Linked DNA regions of Bombyx mori. The protein of the gene in region 2 binds, or shares a complex with, the protein of the main gene of each other region. Links are inferred from orthologs where the notes say so. Each region holds a gene or a part of one and is shown on either strand. Other genes may lie near its edges.

Region 1 (8,353 bases), on a different chromosome or scaffold from region 2:
CAAAGCCACCTTTATATCCCACGTAAATCAAATACCTCACAATGTTCCATTAGCTGCGTGTAATGAAAAAAAATATTTTTATTCATTAGATTAACCTTTAGACATTTATGGCAAAGTAAAAATAATTTCCAGCTAAACAAATAACATGGTTAACATTCAAATAAAAAACTGATCACGCCTGTTCAATTTATATTAAAATCGGGTCCGAGAATCCATTTGAGTATTATTTTCTATTTTAAAAGCTGAATGTGTATCATCGCTTGCACTTTTCATTTCAAAACAAGCAAGCAGGCAATGCTTAACATCTGTTCCTTCTATAACGTCTAAAATTTCTATAACTATCCACCCATGTTTATTAGTTAACACTGCCAAAAAAATATGTTCCAGTTCCTTCTTAGATTATTATCTAAAGAAAGAAGAGAAGCAACAAACTAACCTGATTCATATAAACCGCAGACGAATGTGAATGAAAAACTTTTATTAAAAGTTTCGATGACACCTCATATGGGAAAGACTTGTGCAATGCCGAAACAGATGTTGCCACCCCAAAAACAAGCACTATGGGCAAGGAAGATATGTACGAACTGAAATAAATTGAGTAACTATTTTATATTATACTATATTAGACATTCATTTAAAACTATATTTATTACCAGTAGAAATTGTAATACTTTTTTTGACATATTTCTACTATTGTAATTATATATTTTTCTTATTTTACAGCAGATAGCTTACTAATCTTACTATATTTCTTATGAAATTAAGTGACTGACGCCACTATACATGCGATCGAACTCTTAATTTAATTGTATCTATAACTATTACTATACTATACTACTATCATAATAATCTACTACTGTGAGTAATGATGTAGATTTAAATATTGATTTCAATTTTTAGTTTCCATTACATGAATTTGATATATATGAAGTTAGTAAAAATACTTTTACCTTATTATCATTACAAAATCTTGTAACAAGTGACAATTAAAGCTTTCAAAATCAGGTATTACTATTACTAATGTCTTTGTCGAAATTGATTTTTTCTTCTTATTAGTAGATTCATTTGTATATTTTGAATGGTACCACGTTTTCAGGGTTTTCATTGTACATTGACTCTTTTTTAATTTATGTTTTGTTGATAATACATCGCATTCTTCGTCATTTTTCTGCAAACAGAAACAAATAACAGTAAACATTACATTATAACAAGGGTGAGCAACGTTTTTAATCAATGGTCCAATTCAAATTTTAATTTTTTTTGGCGGGTCGCAGTTACTTTGACTCTTATTAATAATTTACGAAACTTTATTTGTAATAAACATTAGAATAGAAAATTATAAAACTAAAAAAAATGTAAAGATTTCATATACAAATTTTAATACAAAACAAATACAATGAAGAAAAGAGGCAAACACGCGGGATGAGATGCCCTACTTTTTTCCCGCGGTGCACATACTATTTTTTCTCCTACCAGGCCGAAAGTTCGTGGAGTACCGAGCCGGGGTCCAGAGGCGAAGCCCTGGCAGGAGGTAAGGGGGGCGGAGCCCCCTCATACTCATAACAAAACAATTTAACTGTTTTTTAATTTTTAAATAAAGTACTACTAATTGAATAAGAACTGTCTGATGAATTCATCTTTGTTTAATACTTCACTATTATATTTTATTGCCTTTAGTTTACTTCACTTTTACACTAAACACAATATTGCAAATTACCCGAGCACAACAATGACGGAGAATTATAGGTGCGTGAGAGCAGACGTAGACACTAACGCGCATGCGCACTTGTACCCAGGGAGGAAAAGTTACTATTTCTTCCATGTACAGCGGGAAGAAAACCGAACTTTCGGCATAGGTAGGAGAAAAATTAAATTATTCAGTTTCTTTTTTTATTGCTTTTGTCGCCGTCGCCGCGTCGCTCGCGAACTTTAGCAATGTCAAAGGCACAACTACTGCCGAGTCCTTTCCTTAAACTTCACTCGAAGAAGAGCATGTCATAGTAATCAGGAATTATTGTGTAGACAATTTCATTCCAAAGCTGTACGGTAAGTGCCGAAAAATATCATTGGAAACGCACTAGGGATAAACGCAGTGATTCTAGATAATATAGGAGAGCTCTGCTCCAGTCACGGCAGTATGATGGCATAAAGATGACCAGATCATCTCAAACTTGTAGGGAGTGGCTGCCTCTAGCAAACTCTGTCCTGGCAGTGCTGATGTCTATGAATGACGGTAATCACTCACCAGCTGTATGCTTTTGCGCCTACAGGCGATAAAAACAAAAAATCCTCAGAGCACTCCCTATGAATCATACGATAAACAGAGAGCTAAAGAGCTTTCATAGATCCTGATGATTCAAACCATTTATAAAAACAAATGACCTTATGTAATGAGTCAAATGAAAGTAGCTGCTATGTAATTCATGTGAGATGAACATGGGATTTATATGACATAGGTCTGTATGCAGGTGTGCTTCTTGGTTCTATTCAGAACTACCAACATTTTAAATGTCAACTTGGCAGTATCTCGATCCAGTACTTTGATACCAAGCACTGTGATGAAAGAGTTGTCTCTCTGTTGTTAGCCTGTAAGCCACTTACATATCTCATAGAAGTCACAATACAACTAGTAAAATATATTGGTGTTACAAAAACATTTCTAAATAGATTGACATCACTTACTAAATCATTCCCAATCAACTGCCAAACCATGTTCTCAACTATATGTTTTAATGATAACGAATCTTGTGAATTAACTATTGCCACATGAGGACTTATTTCATCTCTGTAAGAATTTTTAAAGTTAATAAACAGTCCCTTGCATTCCGGAATGAACTGATTATGACTACCAGTTTATGAGGTTTATGGTTCGGGATTGAGCAAGTCTTATTTAGGCTATTTCTTTAATTTTTCTTTCAGTCCTAAAATTAAGTAAATGTGTAGTAGACAATGAAACTTTGCTATGCTTAATCTGTAGGCATATGATATTAAAAGCAAATAAATAAACATGGTGTGGTAATAAATGCAATTGTAATTTATCATCAATTTGAATTTTCAAATAACTGTATCCTGAATTTTATTTCATTCATTTTTATCTCCATATTTCATTTTATCATACTATATACTTTTAGTCTTAATATATTACAGCTATTAATATTTGCTCATTTGGCTACATGCAATTATTATAGTTGGCACCACTTACTTTATTATATTTATGAGTGCATCAAATTGTGATACATGATCAGGCTGACTAACCCCAGTTAGTAGTGTTGCGCTAGGAATTATTCCTTCCAACATAAATGCTTCTTCACTTCCATAAAACTGCTTTATATAATTTACTATATCATTCAACAGCACACTGTAAGACCTTTGATTGAGTTCCTTTAAAAGATATACACATACATGTTGAAAAATGTTTTATTCCTTATTCATGTAAGAATAAGCAGCACTTAATATAAAAAAATCAATGCACAAGCCTTATTCAATATTCTGAATTATCCAACTATTGTTGGAATTGAAAGTTAAAATATCCAAGTAATAAAATCACTGGAGCAAAATCAAAACAACTAAGGCCAGGTACACATAGTATAAACAATTACTTATAGAAAGTAACATTTATGGCAACAACAATGGATGAGAAGCTCATTAAGGTGATACTATAAGTTGGGTAGGTTACTATAGGTATAAAGTGACCTGAGTTCAATCTGCTGCTAGGGTTTTGATGGTTTAGATGTATTCAGGACACATTTGAAAATAGTAACTACCACAATTTACTACTACTCCAATTTTTGCTTTACATCAAATTAAAAATCTATGAAAAGGCTACAATAAAAGACACAAAAGAGTTGTATGATTTTTTTTAAATATGGAAATAACAATATTTAGTAGTCTCCTGAATTATAGTTATCTTTAGTAGCTCTTAATTGAAGCTTAAGACATAACTGTATAAGTTTTTACAAGACAAAGTTTTTTTTCATGGCTGTATGACCGAACAGCTTTTCAGTATTTTCTGAATTCAACTTACATTTAATTTAGTTTTAATAGCTTCCCAATTTTTTCTATAAGTAAGATACCAACACTCTTCTTGAAATAATTTACAAAACAATAAATTTGTTTTTTTCTTTGAAAGAGTTTTCGAGTTTTGAAATCCATTTGGAAATAAAAACACTCCCTGTAATTTGAAAAACAATTAAAATTAATTATTCTATCTCTCAAACAGTAATATTTCATTACTTTTAAGCAGTAAATAAAAAAAATACTTTACCTTTGAAACTGACACAGTGGATTCCATTGAATTCCGTTCTTAATTCTATAATAATCTTTCTTCATAGAATATTAAACTGTAGTACAAAACCGAAAAAAACAATGTTTAACCTGGTTTAACCTTTTTTTTTTTAAAAGATTTTATGACCTGGTAACTAAGACCTTTAAGTCATGTCTTATTTTAATTTATAATCTTATTTTATGAAAAATGATAATATGGAGTGAAATGAAATGAAGATGATTGATTTGAGACATTAATCAACTGGGATGAAATTTAATGAGATGATATGGGATGAAATATAATCGCAGTAAAATGGTGGTCATTTACTGAGATTTTTTCAGTGGACTTTTTGGAGGAACCCGAGAAGTTACGTCCAGCAGCTTTGTTTCATTTTCCCACATTTGTGCACTTTCACAGATATTAAACAGTTAATAAACCACCATTATTACACATTTAAACCCGAAGAAACACTAAATAGACAAAATAAAACAAATCACACAACTGCACTCCTCGCGTTCCCGCCAAAAAGTCTGGTTTAACCTTTTTAATTTCAGTCATAGATTAAACATATAATTTATTTGAGATTTCCATAGAGTTACTATTCTAACTGGAGTGCTTACTTCGTTTGACATAAAAACTAAAAATATACTTTATCTCTATGGCTTAAAGTTTATTTTTAAATAGCAAAAGATGTAAGGAAAAACGGTCTGAAAAGAGAATGACTATTAAGTGGTGGTGTCCCTCTCGCACATTTTACAAACAAAAAGCAGTGTTGCTAGCTTAGAGGATTTTCCACAAAATCTCGTAATTTGGACCCCTGTCTTAGTTATCAGTAGTATCAGTAGTAGCTTGGGCTTTTTTTTTATTGCTTAGATAGGTGGACGAGCTCACAGCCCACCTGATGTCAAGTGGCTACCGGAACCCATAGACATCTACAACGTAAATGCGCCACCCACCTCGAGATACAAGTTCTAAGGTCTCAGTACAGCTACAACGGCTACCCCACCCTTCGAACCGAAACGCATTACTGCTTCACGGCGGAAATAGGTGGGGTGGTGGTACCTACCCGTGTGGACTCCCAAGAGGTCCTACCACCAGTAATTACGCAAATTATAATTTTGCGGGTTTAATTTTTATTACACGATGTTATTCCTTCACCGTGGAAGTCAATCGTTAACATTTGTTGAGTGCGTATTTCATTAGAAAAATTGGTACCCGCCTGCGGGATTCGAACACCGGTGCATCGCTTCATACGAATGCACCGGACGTCTTATCCTTTAGGGCGTTGTTGAAAATTATCGAAAAGGTTAAAATCAATCCACTTTACAGGATTTTAAACATTTTATGACAATAATATATCTAAATACATATTATTTAAACGATGTGACTTAAACTTAACTAGAAAATGCTGCGAGAATTTAGAATTTCCATCAACGTCAAAAATTAAATTGGTTCAAAAGAAACGTACAAAGTCATGGTGAAATTAGTTGCTGATGATGACAATTTATTAAAATAAATTATATAAGAAGTATTGATTATATGATATATATTGATTTTTATTAGAACATCATATATTAATAAAGCTCATTAACAAAAAAAATATTGTTCTATATTAATAAGAACTCTGTTTAATGGAAAATTTAATGGTAGGTAAGTAGATTTCTGATGGTTTTCATGGGAAGCCAGATTAATTGTTGGCATCACCGAAAAAGAGCTATGAATGGATTAAAAGAAAAATGGCGTCTATTTACGTTTGTAGTTCGAAGTTAAAAGGGCACTGATACAGCTTGTGGCTTGTTTTTTTCCGAAAATCGTGAAAGTTTCCGTGTAATCATGGCGAACACTTGTATTGTAAGTGGTTTTAAGCGAGAATCCTCTCCAGTTTGTGGAATATCCTTCCATATATCAGATTCATTGATAAATTTTTACTAGTGTGAGTATATATTTTTAAAATGTTAGATATTTTTTCTCATAATAATATTTAATACCATTTGTCTTGTAAATTGTACTTAATCTATGTCATATATTAAATTTGAAAAAACAATCGTGAAAAACTATAATTTTGCAATGTATTTTTCATATTATAAGAGGAATCACGTGGTATTTTTTTGACTTTGTTTATTGTATTGAATAGCGTCGCACGCAAGCATGTATATCATTTGCCTGACGTCAAGCGAACGAGGAGGATCTTCTAGTAAATATGACGTTGGAATTTCTGGAAAATGTCCTATATAAAGGTCAAACAAGAGGAATCAAGTACTCAAACGCAAGAAATAAAAAATGCCCCGAGAAAAGCAAAATTACGACAAGATGTTAAGGTTTTGAAACAAAAACTTAAAAGTCGCGAAATAGTGATTGTAAATATAAAGTCGATTTTAGATTTATTAAAGAAAAATGGCGATTTTTAATTGAATTGAAATTTAAATTGCGAAATTTTAATGATACTCATGGTCCACTTAGATATTGACTAAAATAAATTATTTATTTCGTTGAAAAAAAAAGAATTTACATAAAATAGGGGAAATGTTATATTATTTATTTATTTTATTAGGCTCACAATACACATCACAAGCTAAAGATACATAAAAAACACAAATAAAAAGAAACAATATCTGGCTAATAAGACTACAGAAAATTAACTGAACTTAATAATAATAATATAACCAATATTTTGTAAATAGAGATCAAGTACTATGTGTATTGTGTTATGTGTATTGACTTGTCATTTAAGAGTTATTTAATTGTCTACATATAACAAATAAATTAATTTCAGTTCATTTCATTTTATTACCCATTGTGTTTTATTTATTAAAATGTAACTAGTAGACTTAATATAAACGTAATATAATATAATATAATATAATATAATATAATATAATATATAACTTAATATAAGGTAAATTCAAAACTGATGCATGTGTATAATTTTGTCCTATAAATAAATTTTATATGGTCACCACATTAGACAAGGACACCGCGACCAAAAAGTATTCTCTTTCGAGACCGATTTCTCGGCATTAGACAGCACTCCAGTTGTAGGTACTTATTAACTCCATGGAGATTTCATAGTAGTAAATTTATTTTTCCAAATGGAAAGACAAAGGTATCATACCATACATCCTAATCTTTTCTATATATTTTTTTTGTACAATATGATATTGTGAAATGGAATGAACTTGATTAATATGAAATATGACATGAAATGAAATAAAATGTGATGATATGAGATGGGATATTTTTGTGAAAAATTATAATATGGAGTGAAATGAAATGAAGGTGATTAATTTGAGACTAATCAGCTGGGATGAAATTAAATGAAATGATATGAGATGATATGGGATGAAATATAATCTCAGTAAAATGGTGGTAATTTACTGAGATTTATTCAGTAGACTTTTTGGAGGATTCCGAGAAGTTACGTCCGAGAAGTTACGTAAAATAGGAGTTATCCCTATTTACTCAGAAATTGTGGTTATTGGGGACGAAATTAGTGTTCATAGAGAAATTTGCTAGGGCTGGCACTCCTTGGTTTTAATTTATTTATTTATTTAGTTGCACCAACAAAGTGCACCAATAAAATAAAAAATATTGAAAAACTGACAAAAGTACATGGCAGATGGCACCTCAATCATAGGTCGCAATCGGACAACTCCGAATGAACATTAACGGAGCGCGGTCTCCGTTAATATTCATTCAATAAATAAAAGAGAGCAAAGTTTCTAGCACTAAAATAATTACCACCACAAGAAGTTTTTTATTTTTTTATTGCTTAGATGGTTGGACGAGTTCACAGCCCACCTGGTGTTAAGTGGTTAATGGATCCCATAGATATCCACAACGTAAATGCGCCACCCACCTTGAGATATAAGTTCTAAGGTCTCATATAGTTACAACGGCTGCCCCACCCTTCAAACTGAAACGCATTACTGCTTCACGGCAGAAATAGGCAGGGCGGTGGTACCCACCCGCGCGGACTCACAAGAGGTCCTACCACCAGTAATTACGCAAATTATAATTTTGCGGGTTTCATTTTTATTACACGATCGTGAACATTTGTTGAGTACGTATTTCATTAGAAAAATTGGTACC
Region 2 (8,319 bases):
AAATCGTTGAATAATCGCTGTATCCGGCTCGAAGGACCAGCTGTTGGGTACGCAGCACGTCACCCGTGTCGATAAGGCGAGTGACGCCAACCCAGGTTGGACGGGTTTATGAATCTTATAAGATTTCTTGAAATCCTATAAGACGCCGGATGCCCGTCTCGTGGCGATTATTCGTGTCGATCTGAAGCAGTCGATGTAGGGTCCTGAGGTGTACGATATCGTACAAGCTCACTCGAAATTAAAACTCAAAACTTTGCTACTGAACGTAAACCGAGCCGACCGATCTGTCAATACAACCGAATTCAATAACCGACGATCTTTTCAATGGTCTTCGAGTCTTCAATAAATATCTTCGAGGCGCTGATGTCTTTACTCGTGCGTTTTTTTGTAATCTTCGTTCGGAGGATCGGCGGCCGGCGGTTGGCAGGTAGTCGGTCGAGGGTCGGTCGGTAGGTCGGCAGGTAGTCGGTCGGCAAGTCGGCAGGTACCTGACAGCGTCGCAGGGTCGCTTAACTACCTCGGAATGTTACCCTACAGAGATCTCGTGTAAAATACGGCTCTCGTCGAGATCATTTTCACTATGATCGGCTCGGTTTATTCGTTATATCTATTTATTTAATAAATGTATATACTAATGCCTTATACTTAACTATTCTATGTTGTAATCCCTATCGATACATATAACTTATTCTATGCTTAATCTATATGACGCGCCCGTATAAACAAAATACCCGGTCCTGAACACAGATAAATGCTGTTTGTTACATCGTTTCGGGACGCGGGCCGGGCGCGTGTTCATTTAAGTTAATATGCTAATCTTAAAACTATCGGGAATAATAAAGCAAAAGTGTATACTATTTATTTCAAAGCAACTTACGTTCTATTCTTAGTAAAATCTATGTGCACGTTATCTATATACTTATCTATCTATATGCACTCTATATAATTTATCTATTTGTTATAACTCTATGTCTATGTACGTATCTATATAAATCTATTATTCTATTCTATATTCTATTATATTCTTCAACTTATTCTATAATTATGGGGCGACGCCGCTGTCGCCAACAATAATAATAATATATTATATATACTCAGCCTAATGATTTCCTATTTTGTTACTCTCTTTTCCATTTATACGTTACCACACAAAAGTAACAAAAAAAGAAGTAACAAATCAAGAACAACATGTCATTTTATTTGTAAACACATGCAACTCACACGATTACTCTTATTTCGATTTGATTAACGAAATCAAGAATGGGAGCTTTAATAGTAGGTTAAGTGAAATAACAATAAAATCTGCACTTATCTATGTTTTATGAGTAACAAAGGTGGAATTTTTTTCTGACCGCTAGCTTAAATATTGACTTTTACCGTTCGTACCGGCACCAGAAAGAACTAGTCGAAATTAAAACAAGACGGATGCCAAGCCGGCTAATGCTACCATTATTCTAAAATATAATTGCATTAATCGATTCTCATATTTCTTCAGAATTATGGTAACAAAAACTGGAGTTTCTAGGTGGAACTTTTTACGGGACAAGTTAAAATCATTAATTAGAAATTTAATTATAAATTAATGCTAAAAAGGATGTTTTAGGATGAATTGTGACTTATGGCTGTAAATAAATAATATTTTTTATTTATACAATGCCCATGTCCATTCAACTAAAGATCGATGGTTTGGTAAGATATTGAGATTGGGACACTGCACTTTTCATACAACTGGTTGAAGCTGATTTATGATATATATTTTTAATGAAAAAATCTCATTGTATTTATATCTGTTTTTTTCCTTTCGAATCAGTAGAGTAGTTATACTGCTTACACAATTTATAAAAAGTAGTAATGAACTAATATATTAGCCGGAACAAAATATTAAAAAATGGGACAGAGGCTAAAGTCTATTGTGCAATAATTTTGAGAAATGCTCATATATATTATAACTATGAGTATGTAGTATGTAGGTGTATTTTTACTGGTGGTAGGACTTCTTGTGAGTCCGCGCGAGTAGTTACCACCACCCTGCCTTTTTCTGCCGTGAAGCAGTAATGCGTTTCGGTTGGAAGGGTGGGGCAGCCGTTGTAACTATACTGAGATCTTAGAACTTATATCTCAAGGTGGGTGGCGCATTTACGTTGTAGATCCATGGGCTCCAGTAACCACTTAACACCAGGTGGGCTGTGACCTCGTCCACCCATCTAAACAATAAAAGAAAAAAATGTAGGTATTGTTTTTTTTTATTATTTACACCTGATGTACTATGAGTAAGGTAACAAAATCTCCCTATAATAATATGTGAGACTACCCTCTATGCTTCCGTTTGTGTTTGACGCATAATCGCTACGCGGCAGAAAAACATACATAAGTTAATAGATTAAACTTTGTTTAAATCCAGTACGACAGACGGTCTACCATCAGAAACAACTTATATTGACCTTACCTATTTCTATAATATATATAATAAACAGGTACCCTATTTACAGTGAATAAAGGTTCTCGACAAATCCTCGAGGTAGGACAATGAAGTACGGTATCGATAAAACGGGGTGATTAGGGACAAATTCAAACTTTGAACAATTTTAAGGTAGTTGTTGATGTATTTAATGCTATATCAGGGTCAAAATGATTGAGTCTTGGGGGTATCTTTGTTATCCAATTTAAAACTGCAATTAACATTCCAGCTTAAACAAAAAAAGCAAAAATAATTGATTACCCGTATTTACCGGAAGTTGGAGTTAATGGGGACGAAATTAGTGTCAATAGAGAAATTTGCTAGGGCTGGCACTACCTGGTTTTAATTTATTTAGTTGCACCAACAAAGTGATCATAAATAAAAAACATTGAAAAACTGACAAAAGTACAGGCAGATATAACTTATAGGTGCAATAATATTAAGGGATCATATCTCTTATAAGGCTTTGCACTCTTTGATACGTACACGCGAGTCATATCTAAAAATAGAAAACAACACGTAACTGATAATATACATATTTGTCAAACAATAAAATAACACTGCATTGATAATTTTAAATAAAAGTTCTAGCATTGAGCGACGGTGACCACTTACCATCAGGTGGGCCGTATGCTCGTCTGCCTACAAAGGCAATAAAAAAAAAAAAAAAAAAACATCATGAATAAACCAGATTCTTACCAATACATTTAAAAAAGATTGTTATAACTACATAGACAATCCTACAAACCTGTACCTATTTATACTTTACTCACTCCCATTGAACTTATTTTCATCCCAATAGACCCCTCATTCGTTGTTATTTGTACCTGAGACGTCCCCATTATCCCCAAAAATAATAGATTTTTACATGTATTTCTATATTATCAAAAAACATTAAAACCAATAACAACATATGATCGCTCAAATACTGAATAACGTTTATAAATCACAGTCGTCTCCTATTATTATCAAATAAATAAAAGAGAGCAAAGTTTCTAGCACTAAAATAATGACCACTACAAGAAGTTAATTTGAAATGCGATTTTTTTAAAGTTAGCAGCTATTATCATGCATATTCAAAGTTGCTTGTGAACTTTCAACATTCTACTATTACACTACAAGAAAGGGAAGATTTTGCAACGAATATAAAACTAATATTGAGCGTCGAAAAATTTTCCTGGTTTTTTCCCCATTCACCTTTCAATCCCTAAAAATTCCATTTTAGGTATGACAAAATCTCAGTAAGCAACCACCATTTTACTCAGATTATATTTCATCCCATATCATCTCATCTCATTTCATTTAATTTCATCCCAGTTGATCAATGTCTCAAAATTTTCATTTTATTTCATGCCATTCCATGTTTCGTATTAATCAGCTTTATTTCATTTCATAATAACATATTTCATAAAAATATATATATATATAAAAGATTAGGCTGTATGGTGCCTTTCCATTTAAAAAAATAAAACTACTACTACTTTAAACAATGTCAAAAACATAACCTATATCTCTAATATATTAAGTGTATAATCTATGAACATAACGCAATGTTTGAAATCTAACTTGCTACTACTACAACTGTTTTAAAAAGTAACTAATAAATCTCAAATAAATTATTTGTTAAAGGAGTAAAGTAATTTAAGGGAAGTATTTGCCACAAGTATGTCAAGTGAACTCAAGGGTAAAGTATCCGACAGTGAAACAGAGACAGGTAAATTTTAATACAAATTTATCGCAGCTTTTTTTACTAATATTTTATTAAATTGCCTTAAGCATTATGGAGTTAAAATGAAGCCAATAGGAATAAATCTTTAATGTTTTTACAGTCGATTTGCCCGAAACCCCGTCTCGTCGAACAGGGAGAACTAGACAAAAACCGAAAAAATACAACGATTTTTTTGAATTGTCACCCTCTAAACGGAAACCCCGTAGAGTGAGTACTTCTAGTGAAGAAGACGAGATTATCGACGACTCTTGTCCACAGAAACCCAGAGGTACACTTTGAATGTACAGTTTATATCTAAATTTGAAATTAAACAACATAAAAATGAGAATGAGTAACTTTTCTTAAAGGCAAATTTTTTCCTAATGTATTTTTTGTAATATATATATCAAATTCTAAGTACATACTTAATTTTTAGTACATTTATAAAGAAAATAATTTAAAATGCTGAATATTTGGTTACACATACTTATTTTTATAGTTTAGTTTCACATTAATTATGTCTACAACTTGTGAAAATCAAGAAAATGCTATAATGGAATACATTTTTGCATTCTTGTAAATTTCAGCACTGTTTAGTGATGATGATGTGGAGGGTCAAGATATATTCAAATTTAAGGGTCGTCACACAAAGCATGATCTACAGAATGCAGTGAGATCAGCAATGATGAATTCACCCAAAGTAATACTCACACGTTTGAAAACTCCTAAAAAAGTAATAAATTTGCATAGCCCAATTAGAAAAGCAGCAGGTACTCCAAGACATGTTAGGGAAGTAATAAAAAAAAGTAAGTATTACTTAAATATATTACATAGTATATATTGAGGCTGAAAGCCAATTTAAAGTTTAAAATTTGGAAAAAATAACATGGCAATAAAACTTCATCAGCTAGTTGAATGGGGTAAACATAATTGAAGTTCTATTAAAAATGTGAAATTGTTGATGCTAATACCAAATAAAAAGAACATAATTACAAAGATAAATTTCACATAATATTATTTAACATTTGGTTTAAGTGGATTTCACCCATCAATATAATAGTACTATAGTAATATTTTTGAGTTTAATAATTTAAAGATACACAGCAAGTCCTAGAAATAGGGGTAAAGCTTAATATTGATTAATTTTTAAAACTTCCAACTTTTAAAATTGAACATTTCAGTTAATAATTGGTTTTATTGGGTTATAGATATTCATATGATCATTTCAAAATAGAATTTAGTTCTTAACATAAATACGTGTATAAAAGCAAGTTAAAACAAATACATTAGAAGTTGAAATAAATAATATTTGTTATACAGTTCTCTAGGAATAAAATGAACACTAGGATGTTTATTATATTCATATTAAGTACTGCAATTTTGGGAGTACTAACGTTAGGACAGAGTTTTCCTTTTTTGTATTATATGGCTTGAGCCTGTTTGGTAATTGTCTGGTAACAAGAGACCACCTACACACCAATGCCAATGACCTGACATGAGGTTGAAGTCTCAAAGATTTTGTAACAGTTGGCCCAAATTAAGAATGATCATAAATTGTAATGAGCCGGTAGTTTTTTTTCTTAGTAAATTTGTTGAAATACTCAATATACTGGAGTACACTCAAATGTTATCTACATACTACATACATCTCTTTCAGGAATCATTCAGGAAGTAGACAGTGATAGTTCTGGTGATTTTTCTGGAAGCAGCAGTGATTTTGTTCCAGATGAGAGTGAAAATGAGGAGGTAAACTGATAGTACTGAAGTTTTGTACTCCTTTTCCCACTTTAAATTGGGCCAGCTCTTATAATTCCTCTACGCCAGGATTTTTTATCCTCAGATCCTTGAGTTCTATGCCTCAATTGCATATTAATAAAAACAAAGATTGTAAATTGTTATTGTTTGACTGTTATTGTATGATGCTATTCCTTCATCATGGCCATGGGTTAAGTTTGTACATACATATATCATTAGATAATTGGTACCTGCTTACTACTTAGCACCACCCGATACAAATATACTGGGCGTCTTATTGTTTAGGATAGAATGACTGAAAAACTTTTTCTTTCTTTGAGTTTTCATGGTCATCAGACAACTGAGGTGTTATTTAACATGTGATTAAACTGTAACCATTACCATTTTAAATGATTACAACTCTCGAATGTCAAAGAAAATACTATATACTATTTTAATAAAAATATTTTCTGCAGCAATCTGATTCTTCATCATCATCATCAACATCAGTAGAAGATGAGAAACCTCAGAGGAAAGATTCAGTTAAAACACAAATCACCAGAAACAGGAACAATAAAATGAAAATTAAGGATTCAGAATACATCGTAAAACCTGACAACTATTTTATGATGAATTCTAGTAAAAAAGTTAGTATGTTTATTTCTTCATACCAATTGAATTATTGAATTATCAGCATACAATATTGTATTGATTTCATGTTGATGCTTTATTTTTATTCGAGCTCAATTTTTAATTGATTTTCATTTGAACTTACTTTGATATTGTCTAAATAAAGAAATTTATAATATTACAGATAGCCACATCAGATCACACTCTTGCTAGATTGAAAAACATGAATATTCAAGATAATTCTCCAGATACTGTACATATATCAACAGAACACAGGAAAAAAATAGCAGAGCTCAACTATAACCATCGACAGCTCTTTGACAGATGGCTGTATGAACTAAGTGAAAACTTTAGTATTATTTTATACGGCATAGGATCGAAACGAACTTTGCTCCAACAGTTTCAAGCTGAGAAGTTGAACAAGTTTCCGTGTATAATGGTAAATGGATTCTTTCCGAGTCTCACCATTAAGGATATCCTAGAAAGCATCGTCGTAGATCTACTAGGGAATACAACTGTACCGTCCAATATTGGCAGCGTTGTAAAATTGATTGACAGTCAGCTGTCAGAAAATGGCGTGGACCTATTTCTGATAGTAAACAACATCGATGGACCTATGTTAAGAAATTCTAAATCACAAGTTACTTTGGCTAGTCTATCTCAGATAAAGAATGTGCACACCATTGCAACGATCGATCATATTAATGCCCCGTTACGTAAGTACCTTACTTTTTTTTCTTAAACGCTCAATTTTAGCATGAGAAAGTACTTGATTAAAATATGCATTTAAGTTAACTTTTGCAAGTGATTATTAATCTAAAAACTTAATTTAGTTTTTGAAGTTATTTGTTTTTTTCCTACCTACGCTGATGATCTAGAGAGGCCATATCATTGTCACCGGTCTAGTAGGTGAGCTCACGGGGCTCTAACCTGACGACGTTACTAACACTAACCCTAGCAAGAGCTGTGCTTCGCAGAATCTGCTATCAGATCGGAAACGCAAACCACTGAGAAGATCCGGCGAGTGGGCCGTGTCTGTGGGCTAATATACTCGCCGAGCCCTTCGTCGCAAGCGTTGAAGTTATATAAAAAGCGCTACACCACGTAAACGATTAATTAAGCAGAATAATTCAATTTTCAGTATGGGACTATTCTAAATTGAGTAAATACAACTTTTCATGGTGGGATGTAACTTCGTTTGTTCCTTATACTGAAGAAACTTCCTTCGAGAATTCTATAATGACACACAAAAGTGGCGCCCTACAATTATCATCACTCAGGAGCGTTTATCAGTCATTAACATCGAATTCAAAAGGGATTTTCACTATCCTTATTGAACATCAATTAGCAAATCAAAAGCAAGCCCATTATCAAGGTAAGCCTTGTAAATACTATTTATGACTATGTATTATTATATAAAACAAAAATAGGCTTTCCGCTAAAGTGCCATTTCTGACGTGATGTGTCACGACATGATATAAATGGCAGTAGCAAGAAAAGGCAAGACCATTGGATAAGAACCAACAAAACAATTAAGATAAAATATGAAAATAAAAAAAATAGTATATCGTATTTGTTTTGACAATTTGACTATTTGGTGGTAGGACCACTTGTGAGTCTGCACGGTTAGGTACCACCGCCCTGCCTATTTCTGCCGTGAACCAGTTATGCGTTTCGGTTTGAAGGATGGGGCAGCCTTTGTAACTATCGCGACCGAGGACGTCTCACCTTCCGAGCGACACAGGTGCTCACGGGACACGGCTGTTTCGGTCGCTACCTGCACCTCGTC
Region 3 (7,351 bases), on a different chromosome or scaffold from region 2:
ATAAAACCATCCTGACACTCTAACGCTGGCATGCGTGCGACAGTAGATGATGTCCAGAGACCGCGTCGCTAAGGATACAGAAACACGTACTTTGAATGTCGATAAGTATAGTACGTCGATGAAAATAATATTGTTTAATATCTCAAAATCTAATATTAAAAGGCATTTGAAAGAAGAAAATGTGTCAAGTTACGCGATCCCGCGCCACGTACACGGCCGCTCTGATTATAACCCGAAGTTTCAAAGGGCTCAATCAGCACGCAATGTACAGCATCGATTTTGATAATATTGTTTTAAGTCAGTCAAAATGTTCATTGGTTCATGTTATTGACTATGTCAGTAGCCGGTAGTAGGGAGGCCCGACCTGACACATATCGGTCGGGAAGCTGGCATGCCTTCCGGGCTGGAAGACCTCATGCCTCAAGGTAACGGCCCAACTGGCGTTAAGTGATCACCAGTGATCACCGGAGCTCACCACAGCCCGAGTTCCATAGCGACGTTGAAACCAGTTCGTACCCTCAATTTAGCATCGGTATGATTTTTTGTATGACACAGCGATATAGCGCATAGATATACAGTAATGCCCCTTATAACACGGTACCCTTATAATGTATTTTCATATAACGCGATTTCAGTCCCTAGTATAACACGGGCATTCCCCCATATAACGCTGGGATTTGTAACGTTATATTTCTGTACTGTGAAATTTAATATCTGTACAGTTCATAATGAATTTGGCGTACCTTTGCACATTGTGTCAATTGTGTTGTTATAAAAATAAATTAAATTAATTTATTCAATTTTTGTTCCTAGTTTTTGAATTGTAAAAACATTGGCATTATTGTATTATATATGTACATATATATTTTTTGTATATAACGCGTTATATGGGGTCATACAAAAGCGTTTTTTGTGAATACTACAACGCGTTTCCTATAACGCGGAACCAATCTACCGTGTAATAGGGGGAATTACTGTAAATATAAAAAAAAAAAGGTCTGTAGCGAAGTGTCGCTGCCAGCAACGCGAACCAACGAGCTTCTTAAGAAAATAGAGAGTACTAAACAAAAATCAGATTTTTTTTATTATTTTTTTATAATTATTATCCATTATATTTATTTAGGTACAAACATAATTTTGTTCTAAACGACCTTCCAAAATGAGCGATGTGGGGTGATAATATTTTAACATTAATAATTTTTGTATGCATTTGATCCGCATTGAAAAAGCGCCTTAAAATAAAACGAATAAGCAATATTAAGTAATTTAATTAATGTACAATAAAACTGTTGTTTGTAAAATTGTTACCATCTCGTTCAACTTATACAAAATGTAATGTTGTACTATATTAATGTATTTGTAAGTGAAAATAGCGTGGGAAGTATTTTAATGCTTATCTAGAATACAGGGTTTTGTGTATCCTTCAACTATTTGAGTCGACTATTATCAAAGCCGGCAATGTGACTTTTGGACAATTATTGGTAAATCAGAAAAACGAATTATTGACTTTGTATTCCATTGGCAGCCACAAAACTCTTCTGAACGAGATCTTAGATAAATAACAGGTTAAGTATTAACCTTTATTTAATGCAGGTTTTGAACCGTATTCTTTGAAGGAGACGATTATATTCAAATCAATCTGTATTGACATATCAATAACATTTTCTTGTTCAAATGCACAGATTGCCACCTTTGATAATAGACGACTCATTTGTTGTTCAAATCTGAAAAATAATTCACTTGCTGATTCATTGCCTTAATGTGATGAATTAAATAAAAAATCTGTTGTTTTTCAATTAAAGACCATGAATATATTTAGTAGCCAAATTAAAAGGCAGATTTTTTTTTTTAGTAATAAGTAAATAAATGTGTTCCATCAGAACCAAGTCGCAGTGTCACCTTATATTTTTATTAAGGAACTATGTGGTATTACCGATCACTATTCTAACATTTTATTCTTTTTTTTTTGCAAAATAAAAAACTTAATATTTGGGTAGCCATTGTTGTTTTATTCCGTATGATATGACCTAGGATACGCGTAGATCCGCTGAGAGGTACTTATCATCGGCAAATATCTTACTGTTAATGTATAGTATAAATGAGGTCCGTCAGCGCAAAAGTGGTCTAAGCTTACCATAGTTATTATGGAGATATTGAGATTTGAATTTATCTTTACAATACTTCGCCAGCCAAAAAATACGTCCAAAAATAATGTTTACAAAGGCATCTGTTATCTGTGTGAAACTTGGGCGATTTTGCATCAAAATTTATTATGTATTAAATAAATTGCAATACATAAAGACGAATATGAATTGTGGGTTAAGGCACTTTTGCGCTGACCGCCTCAAATATCTTATAAACTTCCTAGTGAAATGATGATGGTCGTTGAAAATACTGACTTTGCGAACATGAGTTGAATCTACGAAAATGGATGGGTATTTAACAGATTCCTCTTCTGGTAGAAATATTTATTACCAAAGTAACATTCCGTTAGTCTTCAATAATTTGAAAAACATCGCAAGCAAACGAAAACGCCGACACTCAAAGTTTCTGACACACCGGAATGAAACAAAAAATATATTGGAAATCATGGTTTTATTGATATCAATTTACATTACTAGTCAATGTATAAAAAGCTTGTTTACATTAAATTCAATTTAGTATTAAAGATTTTTAAAAATTTTAAGTAAAAAATAAATGCGTTCACCGCGCTTACTAAAATGCACGACAGATTATCTACTTTTTATTTGGTAAATCCTTATTAAAACTACACTGAAGAATATTATATAACATGTGTATTTTTGAAAAATAAATAATGAATTTCTATACGTGATTAAAAATGTGATCAATTTGACACAAGATAATAAAAATGACTAATGAATTATTGCTCGACTACAAAAATGGCCAAGCCACGGCCCCAATTAAAATATAAGTCCTAAAATCCACTTGTAAAATATTTTTATGTATAATATTGTATCTTTGCACTCATTATTTATATAATAGAATGAAAGAGACAATATTCGTTTAAAATTCCATGTGGCAAGTGCGGGGCAAACATTTTCTATTCATAAATCTCTAACGCCAGTGCCGTAGTTCGCTCCCCCTGCCCTATTGAGTGCATCCTTGAATTGGTCGATGTCTATCTCAGACTGATTTTCAAGTTGCAACTCCACAGCAAAGTTCTGAAACATAATAAAAACTAGTTAATTGAGAACTAGCATTGAAATTGAAAGGTGAGTGAAACTAGACCTTCCTAATTTCAAATTATTTTTTTATATATTTGTGTCTGTCAATATCTGTCTGATAATAATAAAATATTAATAAAACAAGGTTCTAATAATTAATTTTAAATCCAAATGAATTACGAATAAAACGAATTAAAGTAGGTATCTTTTTTGATTCTCAATATTCGTCGTACTAAGCCGGCACTTTATTTGAAGCACAGACTATCAAATGAAATTTACAAAGTTCAAAGTTGTCAAAATTGGAATGTGCGCAAAAATGTCAAACCTGAACATACGTTATAGAATTGAATTAACACAAAAGCTTACGTAAATAAAATAAATTATATTAAAATGGATGAAATATACAGTAAAGTTGTGTGCAGAGAGAATCAGTTAAACGATTTGTTCAATTTATTCGGAGATGACAACGAACCATTGCCGTGTTCTATTTTTATAAGTGGAAGTATGGCAACCGGCAAAACGTTATGCTTACAAACTGTTCTCAATTATTTAAGTTATAAACATGTATTTGTCGACTGTATCGAGTGTTATTCGTCAAAGATAATGTTCGAGAACATATTGTCTGCCCTCAACGATGAAGACGAGGACGTGAAATGTGAAAATTTCATGGATTTTATAAACTGTTTGAACCGGCTTCAAAATAATTATGAACCAATAGTAATTGTATTCGATAGAGTCGAGAGACTACGCAACATGGATCAGAACCTCTTGCCAGTGCTACTAAAGCTTAGAGAATTTTGTAAATTGAACATCTGCACGATATTGGTGACGCATTTGATATTCGAAAATTTTAATTTCAAATTCGGTGTACGAGAGCCCATAAAACTCTACTTCCCTAACTATAACAAAGAAGAGTTATTCAGGATAATATTTCTCTACCAAAAATCATTTGTACAGCATTTGCTGAACCATTTTGACATAGAAGATGAAACAACAGAACTAATTGAAAAACCAGAGTTATTTGCAAACTTCTTGAATGCATTCTTGAGTGTATTCTATAGGCCATGTCGAGACCTTATTGAATTAAAGCATATGGCACGCCTAAACTTCATCAAATACTGTGAACCAATCATAAAAGGTGAAATACAATCAAATGATCTAACTAAATTGTGGAGACACATCTCACCAATCTTGAAAACAAGCCTAGAACTTTTATACTTAAGAATTAGTGATATGAGGCAATTCAAACCTTCACCGGGTAAAGAAAACAGTGAAAGCTTATATGCCAAAGAATTCTGTCTGGAGAAAACGTTAAAAGATGAACTTTCTTCTACAAAAACATTTGCACAAAGCTTCGAACTACCATACTTTGCGAAATACTTACTAATTGCAGCATATTTGGCTAGCTACAATCCGCCCAAAGAAGACAAGAGATTGTTTATGAAGAACCACGGGAAACAACGTAAACAAATGAGACAAATCAAAGCAAAGGCTAAAATTAATGAAAAATTAAGTACACAGCTCGGTCCTAAAGTTTTTACTTTAGATCGATTGTTGGCAATATTCTATGCTATCTTAGAAGATAAGATCGGTTTAACCAGCAATCTGTTGGCACAAATAGCGACATTAGTTGAGCTAAAATTGATAGCGGGAAGCAAAGAGATAGATTTAGATACAGCAAAATATAAATGTATTGTTGGCTATGATTTCATTTCAGCCATTGCTCAGACTGTCGGTTTTAACATTAGAAAATATTTGTATGATTTTATTTGATGTATTGCTGTCAAGTTGCGATACATATTTCTCTAATAAACATTTTTCTGAAACAATTTGATTTTTAGTACTTATATGGGTAAATGAGCTCATGGTCCATGGTTCCAACCAATTTGAAAAATGAGGTCAAAGTCCAATCCGTATTATTAAAATAGCTGGCACATCCTGCAATTCGGAACAATTTTTTTGATAATTTTTTTTTCAATTTCGTGATTAATTTAGGGAGATGTTTAGGATTGAACAAAAAGAAGCTGTAAGCACGCGGGGGAAGAACTTATCCAAAAATAAAATGGGCTTATACGAACCGATATGATGTCCTTGATGATAGCTTTGTCGGTGGACATCTTGGCTCGGTTGATCACAGACACGTTCGGTCCTACCCACGTCATGAACATAAATTTCTTGCGTTTAGACATCTCGTCTCCCATCTGCAACCTTCAGTCCAAAAAATTTATTAAAACAAATATGTGTAATGCAACACACATCTGTTGGACTACGCGAGCCAAGACTTAATTAGAACTCTTTTTACCGATTTATCACGCGGTTTTTGTATTTCTTATTAACCACGTCTCCAATTATTTATAGTTTCCGATCACTCGGCGCCTCAATCATTATTAATAATCACTTTGGTGCTGAGCTTAATTTTACATATTTTTCAAAAAAAGCTAAGGAATTCAGAAAGAAATTACCCACAAAAAAATTTAAATAACTTAAAAATACAAAAATTCATTCACGAAGCAGCTACTGTCGAGTGGTTAGGTCTCCTTTGGAGGCGCTCGGGTAGCTGTTAGTAAATCCCACCCCTCTTGGCTGAGCGCGTGCTCGCCCACCTGTCCTGGTGAAACTGGAAAGGCCTCCGGGCCACCAGTAATCCCTCAAAAAAAGAATCCCAGCTTGGGGTTGGGTGGTAGATGTGTCGCATGTGTCCCTGGTATTATTCATCTGGTCGTGAAAGTTTGTTGGAGGTTTGAGAATTTTTTTTTTTTTTTTTTTTATTGCCCTTGTAGGCAGACGAGCATACGGCCCACCTGATGGTGAGTGGTTACCGTCGCCCATGGACTTCAGCAATGCCAGGGGCAGAGCCAAGCCGCTGCCTATCGCTTAATACTCTCCACAAGCCTCTTTTAAAGAAGGACATGTCATAGCGCTCGGGAAACACCGTGGAGGGGAGCTCATTCCATAGCCGGATGGTACGTGGCAGAAAAGACCTCTGGAAACGCACTGTCGATGACCGCAGTGGCTCCAGGTAGTATGGATGAACTCTACTCCGGTGGCGGGCGGTGCGATGGTAAAAACGAGATGCCGGTATCATCTCGAACAATTCCTCAGAGCACTCCCCATGGAACATTCGGTACAAACTACAGAGGGAACCGAAGTCCCTCCGCAGACCCAAAGGTTCCAAACGATCCGCGAGAATGGGATTATCGACGATTCGAACGGCCCTCCTCTGTATGGAGTCAAATGGAAGAAGCTGGTATTTGGGAGCCCCGGCCCAGAGATGGGAACAGTACTCCACGCGAGGCCGGACTTGTGCTTTATAAAGCAAAAGTCTTTGTCCAGGCGTGAAATACCGCTTCGCTCTGTTGAGGACTCCCAGCATTTTGGACGCCAACTTGGCTTTGCCTTCCAAATGACTCCGAAATTGGACATCACTCGAAATGTCGACCCCAAGTATCCCGATGCTCGCGGAAGGTTGCAGGGATACTCCTTGGAATTGCGGCGCCATGACAAAGGGGTCCTTCTTCGCAGTGAACGCGCAAACTTGTGTCTTCAACGGGTTGAATTGAACTAAGTTCGATTCACCCCACTCGGAGACTCGCCCCAGAGAGTTCTCCACTTCAGACACAAGTTTTGATCGTCTCTCTTGCACCACGCTCCGAGAAAGACTCTGATGGCCGATATATCGCGCATCCCCCGTGCTGTCATCCGCATAGCAATGCATGCCATCAATAGACAGCATGTCATTGATATACAGGATGAAAAGCGTGGGGGAGAGCACCGAACCTTGTGGAACGCCAGCATTAATGGTCATGGTATCAGAACAATCACCGTCCACAACGACCGTGATGCTCCGCCCATCCAGAAAGCTAGCGATCCACTTGCAGAGACCCTCGGGGATTCCGTAAGATGGAAGCTTCGACAGAAGCGCCTTATGCCAGACCCTGTCGAAGGCCTTCGCGATATCAAGGCTCACAGCAAGAGCCTCGCCCTTGCTCTCCAAGGCTTCAGCCCACCTGTGAGTAAGGTATACAAGAAGATCGCCAGCTGAACGACCGTGACGGAAACCGTACTGTCGGTCACTGATCAGCTGGCGATCTTCAAGATACTTCAGGAGTTGTGTGTTTATTATTCGCTCCATCACCTTGGAAAGCAAGGAAGTTATCGCGATAGGC

The links.
Region 1: the proteins of origin recognition complex subunit 2 (region 2) and origin recognition complex subunit 3 are in contact, whole or in part, in a cryo-EM structure (PDB 7JK6), measured with the Drosophila melanogaster proteins. The link is inferred for Bombyx mori from reciprocal best matches to the Drosophila melanogaster genes Orc2 and Orc3. Residues at the interface, in NP_731873.1 of Drosophila melanogaster: Ala331, Ile332, Lys342, Met344, Cys345, Ile346, Leu347, Asn348, Glu349, Phe351, Tyr356, Leu358, His369, Lys375, Thr377, Val378, Leu379, Val380, Val381, Asn382, Phe385, Asp392, Ser396, Asp400, Ile401, Leu402, Asp403, Asn410, His412, Glu413; in NP_476904.1 of Drosophila melanogaster: Gly10, Cys11, Phe12, Val13, Tyr14, Lys15, Asn16, Ala18, Thr19, Arg20, Ser38, Leu39, Leu40, Tyr50, Tyr53, Arg54, Asn106, Pro108, Arg135, Asp136, Ala142, Arg177, Arg180, Asp308, His312, Gln316, Lys319, Tyr320, Met323, Phe327.
Region 3: the proteins of origin recognition complex subunit 2 (region 2) and ORC5 are in contact, whole or in part, in a crystal structure (PDB 4XGC), measured with the Drosophila melanogaster proteins. The link is inferred for Bombyx mori from reciprocal best matches to the Drosophila melanogaster genes Orc2 and Orc5. Residues at the interface, in NP_731873.1 of Drosophila melanogaster: Asp438, Arg443, His468, Asn470, Thr471, Pro472, Leu473, Leu474, Trp475, Asp476, Gln477, Leu480, Trp487, Ser521, Ser524, Glu564; in NP_477132.1 of Drosophila melanogaster: Lys169, Ile382, Cys401, Asn402, Leu404, Ser405, Ile407, Ser408, Thr409, His412, Asn424, Ile425, Met426, Glu427.

The regions. Positions count from the first base shown.
Region 1 is NC_085128.1:8,980,589-8,988,941, reverse strand, and holds the start of origin recognition complex subunit 3, read right to left. Parts: upstream 4,805-8,353; 5' UTR 4,292-4,804; coding exon 4,265-4,291; intron 4,172-4,264; coding exon 4,025-4,171; intron 3,388-4,024; exon of another isoform or gene 3,382-3,387; coding exon 3,203-3,381; intron 2,786-3,202; coding exon 2,683-2,785; intron 1,169-2,682; coding exon 951-1,168; intron 585-950; coding exon 437-584; intron 1-436.
Region 2 is NC_085115.1:9,010,722-9,019,040, reverse strand, and holds the start of origin recognition complex subunit 2, read left to right. Parts: upstream 1-3,714; 5' UTR 3,715-4,123; coding exon 4,124-4,172; intron 4,173-4,287; coding exon 4,288-4,455; intron 4,456-4,753; coding exon 4,754-4,972; intron 4,973-5,823; coding exon 5,824-5,912; intron 5,913-6,376; coding exon 6,377-6,547; intron 6,548-6,714; coding exon 6,715-7,246; intron 7,247-7,671; coding exon 7,672-7,905; intron 7,906-8,319. UniProt on the Drosophila melanogaster protein: Component of the origin recognition complex (ORC) that binds origins of replication. DNA-binding is ATP-dependent, however specific DNA sequences that define origins of replication have not been identified so far.
Region 3 is NC_085126.1:11,149,981-11,157,331, reverse strand, and holds ORC5 (origin recognition complex subunit 5), read left to right. Parts: upstream 1-3,503; 5' UTR 3,504-3,575; coding exon 3,576-4,958; 3' UTR 4,959-5,014; downstream 5,015-7,351. Other genes in the region: cyclic AMP-regulated protein, read right to left, coding at 3,066-3,182, 5,264-5,393. UniProt on the Drosophila melanogaster protein: Component of the origin recognition complex (ORC) that binds origins of replication. DNA-binding is ATP-dependent, however specific DNA sequences that define origins of replication have not been identified so far.